Linked DNA regions of Macaca fascicularis. Each later gene encodes a partner of the first gene's protein in a complex. Links are inferred from orthologs where the notes say so. Each region holds a gene or a part of one and is shown on either strand. Other genes may lie near its edges. The genes, in order: FARSB and FARSA.

Region 1 (4,395 bases):
CACGAAGCACCAATTTTAGGTGGAAAACTGTATTTTGCATTGGGCATGTTTGCCATTTATGGGGTGTTGCCAATCTGTTATGTTGGTCATTGGGAAGGGACTGCCTTCCCATGGAAGGCAGCTAATACTGTGTAGTGAAAAACTGCTTGATTAGTAGTTAGAGTGTCCTACATCTGGCTCAGCTTTTGTCTCCTCATGTGAAGGACCTTGGAAGAAGCCCTCACTCACTGTACAGTAGAAAGGATTAGGGCAAGTCTCCCCCTGGAAATGCCAGGTTGTGCCTTAGTTTCATTACTGGTAAAACAGGGATAATGGTACCTACCTTGATATATTAGTTTCCCTTGGCTGCTGAAACAAATTACCACAAACTTGCTGACTTAAACCAAAAATTTATGCTCTCATAGTTCTGGAGGCCAGAAACCCAAAATCAGTTTCACTGGGCCCAAACCAGCATGTATTACACGGCTGCCCCATAGGCTGGGCGTGAATCTGTCCTTGTCTCTGTTTATTTCAGGGGTACATGTGCAGGATGTGAAGGTTTGTTACATAGGTAAACGTATGCCATGGTGGTTTGCTGCACAGATCATCCCATCACCTAAGTATTAAGCCCAGCATCTATTAGCTATTTTTGATGCTCCCCACTCCTCCACCCCCTCACTCCCAGAGTGTGCTTGTCTCTTTGTTTCTGGTGGCTGCTGGCATCCTTGGGTTGTGGCTGCCACTGTGGCTACATCGTCTCTCTCTACCTCCCTTTTATGTTTTTATGAGGATACTGTGATTCCATTCAGGGTCCGTCTTTAGAATCCAGGATAATAATCTTTATCTCAAAATCCTTAATCTGCAAAGGCGCTGTTTCTATATAAAGTTACATTTAGAGGTTGCAGGGATTAGGGTCTGATACTACTGGGGGCCGTTATTCAGCCTACTACACTCAGGGTCGTTTTAAGGAGGAAGGCTGAGCACAGCCCACTGACAGCAGAGAGCACTGAGCAAATAGACTAAAAAGGAGGTCTCTTACAAAGACTCCCTTATAGGGCTGCCGTAAAGTTCAAAAGAAACACAGGTATATCACTTATACGAGTATAGGAGAGATTAAAGAATGAAGTAAAAACTGAGGTCTGTTAACAGCCCCTCTTCCGCCGCCAGGAGTTGCACACCTTTCTCTGCAGGAAGCCTTGAACCGTCTCCTCTCGCCTTTCCACCACCTCCAGGCAAGATTTCCCACGTGGAGGCCCCGCCCCCTCCCTGACGCGCCCCTCTCTCCGCCCTGCCTTTAGCGCGCTGGAAGCATCCGGGACTTCAGGGACAGTACGTTACAATGCCTGACAAATCCTAGCCAGTGCTATCAAATTATATGTCTCTTACAGGTTTTTAAGCTATTAGTCCCATAAAGATACATTTAGCCAGCGAGGTAATGGCAAGATGAGTGTTTTTAGGTTAAAATAAGAACTGGAACTGTTGGCAGCAGAATGGCGATATTCAAGACAGCTCGCACAAGAAGAGGCGGGTCCTACGCGCCTCGCTAGGGAATCCCGGGTCAGCTCGCCGCGCAGGCGCAGTGAGTTCGACTCGCCATGCCGACTGTCAGCGTGAAGCGTGATCTGCTCTTCCAAGCCCTGGGCCGTACCTACAGTGAGTGCCGGCCCTATACATTGGGCCCTACGCCTCTTCTTGGAGGCTGGGCCTCCCTCCTAAAGGGCATTGTGGTGACATTCATGTCTTCCTGAAGGTTTTGGCCCCGGGAGGCCGGGGTTTATACTGGAGGGCCGATGATGGTGGCGGTCCGACTGGGCTGTGGTAGCCTCGGAACCGGCATCGCAGGGGTGCCACTGCTCGTGCCCGGCTCGCCGTGTCATTCATTCAGCGATCTGCCATCGAGTGCCTACAGCGTGCCTGGCACCGACATCCAAGCCAGGGGATAGAACAGGAAGGAAACCCGGGGTTGTATCCCGAGCGTAGCCAGTTCATTGCAATAAGAGCGCTGTGGGAACTCAGTTTATAAAGGGGTAGGAGGAGAGAGTTGTGCAGCGGGATGGAGAAAGGCATTCCATCTGTCTTCGTCTTATTAATGTTTCCTGAGCGCCTGTTATGTGTCAGGCACTGTTCGAAGAGCTTAGGACTAGGGCTGTGCACATGACACGTCAGGTCCACGTTCTGTCTGATGGAGGCAGACAATTAACCAGCACATTAATAAAATGATTTCGGATAATGTTAAATGCCATCAAGGAAAGAAGAGGTGTTGTGCCAAGAACAACTTTAGATAGGGTGGTAACATTTGATCTGAGACCTGGATGAGGAGTATTCAGTGGGCGTAGACTTCATTCTACATTTCATCTTTTATTCAGTTCTAAAAACACAACCATTGCAAAAAGGAGGGAGATATTAAGTGCAGTTATCAGTTACCTCACAGCCGTAGCAGGTGCCCCACCCTTTTTGTTTTTTTTTGAGAAGGAGTTTCGGTCTGTCGCCCAGGCTGGAGTGCAGTGGCACTATCTCGGCTGACTGCAACCTCCGCCACCCGGTTCAAGCAATTCTCTGCCTCAGCTTCCCGAGTAGCTGGGATTACAGGCGCCTGCCATCACGCCCGGCTGATTTTTTTTTTGTATTTTTAGAGAGACCGGGTTTCACCATCTTGGCCAGGCTGGTCTTGAACTCCTGACCTCGTGATCCGCCAGCCGCGGCCTCCCAAAATGCTGAGATTACAGGCGTGAGCCACCGCACGCGGCCCCCACCCCATAATTTTTAGCTTGTATAAAGACTGTACCAACTGGTTTGTGAGAGCTGTTTTTTTCTTTTTAGCGCTCAGTGTGATAACAAAGGCCTAACTGGTTTAATGACAGCCACCGCTTTCCAAAATAAGATATTACTGCTACTGTGAAAATAAAACTGGCTTTTAAAAATCTTTCCTAAGCGTGTACTTTTAGATAGTACCTATTCTCAATGTGATATTCTTCGTAAGTTCTGCCATAAGTCCCTGAAAGTAAAGGAAATACAAGGGTATTGTATTACTCTTACCCTTTGTACTTGTCTCTAATCGCCTAATCGCTTTATTTTATAATGAGCTTATTTATATTTCTTACCTGACCTTCTAAACCATATTCTCACTAATGGGATGTGGTACAGGTTGCTAATTCCTGATCCAAAATGCTTGAGACCAGAAGCGTCTTGGATTTTGGATTTGGGGATATTTGCATGTACATAATGAGATATTTTGGGGGTGGGACCCAAGTCTAAACATGAAATTGATTTATATTTCATATGCACCTTATATGCATAGCCTGAAGTTAATTTTATGGAATACTTTAAATACTTTTTTTTGCATGAAACAAGGTTTTGACTGTGTTTTTGACAAGTCACATGGAGTCAGGTGTGGAATTTTCCACTTGTGGCATCCTGTCTACACTTTAAGGTTTTGGGTTTTGGAGCATGTCAGATTTCAGATTTTTGAATTAGGAATGCTCTATCTGTATACCTGAATTGCCTAAGATGGTAGGTGGCAAATATTTGTTCAAAACATCTACAATCCGTTCCCATCCCAGTCTCCATTTCTAGGGAGGTAAGAAATAATCCAGATTTTTAAAAATGGTGAGATTTATAACCTATTTACTGTCATCTGATGTTTCAACATATTCTGTCCCCTTCCCTTTTTTTTTTTCATATTGTCAGTGATCAATTAAGATTGATTTTTTTCACAAATATGTGTTTGTTAGGTACTGAATCTTTTAAGGGCCAGGTTCATGGCTGATGCTTGTAATCACAGCACTTTGGGAGGACGAGGTGGGCAGACTGCTTGAGCTCAGGAGTTGGAGACCAGACTGGGCAACATGGCAAAACCCTGTCTCTACAAAAAGTAGCTGGGTGTGGTGGTGTGTACCTGTAGTCCCAGCTACTCGGGAGCCTGTGGCCGGAGGATCACTTGAACCAAGTAGGTCAAGGCTGTTGTGAGTGGTGATAAAGCCACTGCATTCCAGCCCCGGCCACAAAGTGAGACCCTGTCTCAGAAAAAAAAAAAAAAAAATTGGTCAAGAGAATTGATGTTATTTTTGAGATGTACTTTCGAGAGGTCAGAAATGATACTCCTCATTAGTTTACGTTTATTGTGTTCTTTCTTGAAACTGTTAACTGGGTTGAGGTCAGAACTGGAAAAGCATGTTCAGCAAAGCATGTGGTTTCCAAGTAGTATGGATACATCTTGTTTCTTACCTTTTTTTTTTTCCCCAGTCTTCCTCTTTTTTTCTTGTTTTTCACACTTTTAAAATCCACGTTCTCTCTCTTTAGTCCCTCCAAGGGTTGCTTTCTATTTGAAATTTCATTGTTTCTACCAGTCCCCACCTTCCTTTTTACCTCCTCTTTGCTTAGCAAGGATATTTCTCTTTCAAGCTGTTTGCCATTTTG
Region 2 (4,471 bases), on another chromosome or scaffold:
AAATTCTTACTGTCAGTTTTGAACCTGTGACAGATTTTAAGGTGAAAAATTAGGTGAACTGATTCACCTTCACATTTTTTTCTTTGTTTTTGTTTTCACTGAGAGGGGGCCTAACCCTGTTACTAGGCTGGGGTACAGTTGTGTGATCATAGCTCACTATAGCCTTGAACTCTTGGACTCAAGTGATCCTTCCGCCTCAGCCTCCTGAGTAGCTGGGACTACAGGCACGTGCCACCACACCTGGTTAATTTTTAAATTACCCTTCTTTTTTTTTTTTTTTTTTTTGAGATGGAGTCTCACTTTGTCGCCCAGGCTGGAATGCAGTGATGCGATCTCGGCTCACTGCAAACTCAGCCTCCCAGGTTCAAACAGTTATCTGCCTCAGCCTCCCAAGTAGCTGGGATTGCAGGTGTGTGCCACCATGCTCTGCTAATTTTTGTATTTTCAGTAGAGATGGGGTTTTGCCATGTTGGCCAGGCTGATCTCAAATTCCTGACCTCGTAATCGGCCAGCTTGGCCTCCCAAAGTGTTGGGATTACAGGCGTGAGCCATTGCACCCAGCCCTTTAAATTACTTTTTTTTTTTTTTTGAGACGGAGTCTTGCTCTGTCGCCCAGGCTGGAGTGCAGTGGCTGGATCTCAGCTCACTGCAAGCTCCGCCTCTCGGGTTCACGCCATTCTCCTGCCTCAGCCTCCCGAGTAGCTGGGACTACAGGCGCCCACCACCTCGCCCAGCTAGTTTTTTGTATTTTTTAGTAGAGACGGGGTTTCACCGTGTTAGCCAGGATGGTCTCGATCTTCTGACCTCGTGATCCGCCCATCTCGGCCTCCCAAAGTGCTGGGATTACAGGCTTGAGCCACCGCGCCCGGCCCCTTTAAATTACTTTTTAAAGACAGGGTGTTGTTATGTTGTCCAGGCTGGTCTCAAACTCCTAGTCGCAAGTGATTCTCCTTTCTCAGCCTCCCAAAGTGCTGGCATTACGGGCATGAGCCACCACGCTCAACCTGTCTCCATGTTTAAATGTTCACATGTCAGTGCCCAGAATGTCAGACAAGGGCCCTGGAGGTACACATTACAAACAAAAACTGAGGTTCCAGGTCCAGAGTCACGAAGAAAAGGACAAAAAGGATAAATAGAGTGCACAGGACCTGGCTCCCACTTCGTTCTAATCCTACCTCTGCCCTTCATTTCCTGTGTGACCTCGGGAAAGTTGCTTAACCTCTGAGCAACTCTTCTCATCCATAAGAGAAAGGTGTGATGGGTTCTACCTCAGATGATTTTAAGGAGTAGCTAAATTAATACTCAGAAAAAATATATAGTGCCTACCATGTGACAACTGCTGCATAAATTTTTTTTTTTTTTGAGATGGAGTCTCGCTCTGTCGCCCAGGCTGGAGTGCAGTTGTGCAATCTTGGCTCACTGCAACCTCCACCTCCCAGGTTCAAACAATTATCTGCCTCAGCCTCCCAAGTAGCTGGGATTACAGGCGCCCACCACCACGCCTGGCTAAATTTTTTGTATTTTTAGCAGAGACGGTGTTTCACCATCTTGGCCAGGCTGGTCTTGAACTCCTGAACTCATGATCCACCCGCCTCGGCCTCCCAAAGTGCTGGGATTACAGGCGTCAGCCACTGCACCCGGCATAAATTCTAACTACTATAATTATTTTTATGGCTATTACTGTCATTAGATTTAACCTTACCTCCTTATATTATTTAACTCTCTGTGACGTATACAAATGTCAAATCATATTGATCAAAGCACTGTCACCCAACAGAACACAGCTGCCTCTGCATTGAGGACTATGGGCTCTGCAGCCTGAGTGCCTAATTTCAAATCTGGGTTCATCGGCCTCTTCTATTCACACTGATTATGTTACTGACCATCGGTTGTCACATCTGCAAAATGGGAATAACATGGCCATCAGCCAGGATTATGGAATGAATTGGACAAACAAGCTGAGACCAAAGTGGGGCGCAGAACGTGAGCTCTAAGGATAAACAGCCCAGATCCTGGCCTCATGGATCTAGCCTTCTGGGTGGCCCACGGGCCCCTCAGCATCCTCCTCCTGTGACTCTGTCACTGTCTACTTGCCCAAGTCAGAAGGCTGGACTTCATCGGTGTGCCCCCTGCCTTGTCCTGAATCCCATGCCTTCCCCACCTCCCCCAAGCTGCCTTCCCATAGCCAGACATCATGCCATCCAGCTTGGGGAAGTGCCAGCTTCTGCTTTCATCCCTTCACCTCCTGTCCTGTCCCTGCCAGTTATTCCCAAAGGTGATGTGGATAGCACACTCATCTGACCGGGCTCTAGCTCCTGCTATCGCTCCCCAGTTCCCTCGTGAGGTAAAGACCTAAGAGGCCTTGCAATTACAGCTATGCTGGTCTCCCTCGCCGCCTGCCATCCCCGAATATCCCGGCCACTGATCTCTAAAGTGGTATCACTTTCCTCTACAGAGAACCGACTCAGCCGTCACCTGCACCAGGCCGCTCTCCCTGACCCCCAAGCCTGGGTCAGCTGTCACAGCTGGGTCCCCTGTGTTCCCCCCATCACTCTAGTTCTTGAAGCACCTTCCTATAAGGTCGCAACCTGCGTGAGGGCAGCAACCGCGTCCTCCTCGTCCATTATCGTTCCCCCTACCCACGCTGACCGCGCCTCAATAAACGTTTATTGCATGAGGAACATCTGGGCCCTCACTCGTCCCACTTCCCGTCCGCGCATCCCGGGGTGGACACATATACAGCTACCCCAAACTAGGCCTGAGGGAATTTGGTCTGGACGTAGAGCCCTCCTGGCAAGGGGACCGTAGGTGCAAGGGCAAGGCGGCCCGGCATCACGGGCCCGGCTCACCTCGCCCAGTGCCTGAAGGCTCTTCACGGCGCCCACCACCGCTTGGTGCTCCATGCCCAGCTCAGCCGCCAGCTCGGCGCTGTCCAGGCCGCCATCGGACGCCTCCAGCCGCCGGAGCAGCAGTTCCGCCACCGGACCATCCGCCATGGCTGCTTCCAGTGTGCTCAGCGTGTCCTGGCCGGGGCCTGAGCCACCGGAACCGGAATCCGGGCTGTGCATCGCCATCTTGAATGTGTCTAACCGCAGAGCAGGGCTCAATGTGTCGTCATCTTGAGTGTGGCGACGGAGCCTCAGAAGGTGCACGGCACTCAGTTCCCACCTCCACCCTGGCTCCATCAGTGGCGTCTGGTTGACCAGAGAGGAAAATCGATTATCTCAAGGTCAGAAGCACCGCCCTGTTTTGAGCTTTATCTAGCCTCACTTCGAGCGGGCTGTGTGACCTTGGACTTAACCCTCTCTGGGTTACAGAAATGTCTGCCCTTCTGGTATTCTCTCTTGCCCTACGAGAGGCGGTGGGTGGTGGGCTCCAGAGATGGTCATTTTGGCGATGTCAGCTACTTTTAAAATTTCAAAGGAAGGCTGGGTAGGTACCATCCCTTTTTATAGAGGGGAAAAGGATTCATCTAGTAAGTCAAGGTGGCACCTAACCTGTGTGGACTACCTCCTATGTGGTAGTACTTAGCCCAGAACTAAGTACTTCACGTGTAGAATTTCATTTCTCCCCAAAACTTTATGATGTAGATACTGATATAACCGCATTACACAGATGAGAAAACTGAGGCTCAGAAGGTGGTATGACTTGCCCAAGGTTCTACAGAGAGTTGGTGGAAATTAAGCCATAAATTATAAACCTTCCAGATCCCCCACCCCTGTGCACTGAGAGCAACGTCGGTGCAAATACTGCATGGCCTAGATTAGCACTGTCCTATAGAAATATAGTGCAAAACATCTTTCTGGTTTTTTTTGGGTTTTTTGTTTTGTTTTGTTTTGAGACGGAGTCTCCCTCTGTCGCCTGGGCTGGAGTGCAGTGGCCGGATCTCAGCTCACTGCAAGCTCCGCCTCCCGGGTTCACGCCATTCTCCTGCCTCAGCCTCCCGAGTAGCTGGGACTACAGGCGCCCGCCACCTCGCCCGGCTAGTTTTTTGTATTTTTTTAGTAGAGACGGGGTTTCACCGTGTTAGCCAGGATGGTCTCGATCTCCTGACCTCGTGATCCGCCCGTCTCGGCCTCCCAAAGTGCTGGGATTACAGGCTTGAGCCACCGTGCCCGGCCAACATCTTTCTTTTTTGAGACAGGGTCTTGCTCTGTCACCTATGCTGGAGTGCAGTGGCGCAATTATGGCTTACTGCAGCTTTGACTTCCCAGGCTCTAATGATCCTCCAACCTTAGGCTCCTGAGTAGCTGGAACTACAGGTGCGTGTCACTACACCCAGCTTTTTCTTTTTTGTCTTTTTTTTTTTTTTTTTTTGTAAAGATGGGTTTTTGCCATGTTGTCCAGGCTGGTCTCAAACTCCTAGGCTCAGGTTATCCTCCTGCGTCGGTCTCCCAAAGTGCTGGCATTACAGGCATGACCCACCGTGCCCAGCCAGCCAGACCCTGACTCTTAAGAAAAAAAAAAAGAT

Evidence for each region.
Region 2: the proteins of FARSB (region 1) and FARSA are in contact, whole or in part, in a crystal structure (PDB 3L4G), measured with the Homo sapiens proteins. The link is inferred for Macaca fascicularis from reciprocal best matches to the Homo sapiens genes FARSB and FARSA. Residues at the interface, in NP_005678.3 of Homo sapiens: Glu26, Phe29, Gly32, Leu33, Pro68, Ala69, Asn70, Ile150, Arg152, Asp259, Thr261, Lys262, Arg305, Lys316, Lys317, Val318, Gly319, Ile359, His360, Cys362, Asp363, Glu366, Ala369, Ile370, Tyr374, Asn375, Ile377, Gln378, Met379, Thr380; in NP_004452.1 of Homo sapiens: Ser221, Gly222, His223, Leu224, His225, Leu227, Leu228, Arg231, Ser232, Arg235, Leu239, Gly242, Phe243, Thr244, Glu245, Pro247, Asp249, Asn250, Phe251, Ile252, Glu253, Ser254, Phe263, Gln266, Gln267, Phe277, Phe278, Leu279, Arg280, Asp281.

The regions. Positions count from the first base shown.
Region 1 is NC_088386.1:118,591,150-118,595,544, reverse strand, and holds the start of FARSB (phenylalanine--tRNA ligase beta subunit), read left to right. Parts: upstream 1-1,555; 5' UTR 1,556-1,574; coding exon 1,575-1,632; intron 1,633-4,395.
Region 2 is NC_088393.1:13,328,135-13,332,605, forward strand, and holds the start of FARSA (phenylalanine--tRNA ligase alpha subunit), read right to left. Parts: upstream 3,012-4,471; 5' UTR 2,997-3,011; coding exon 2,850-2,996; intron 1-2,849.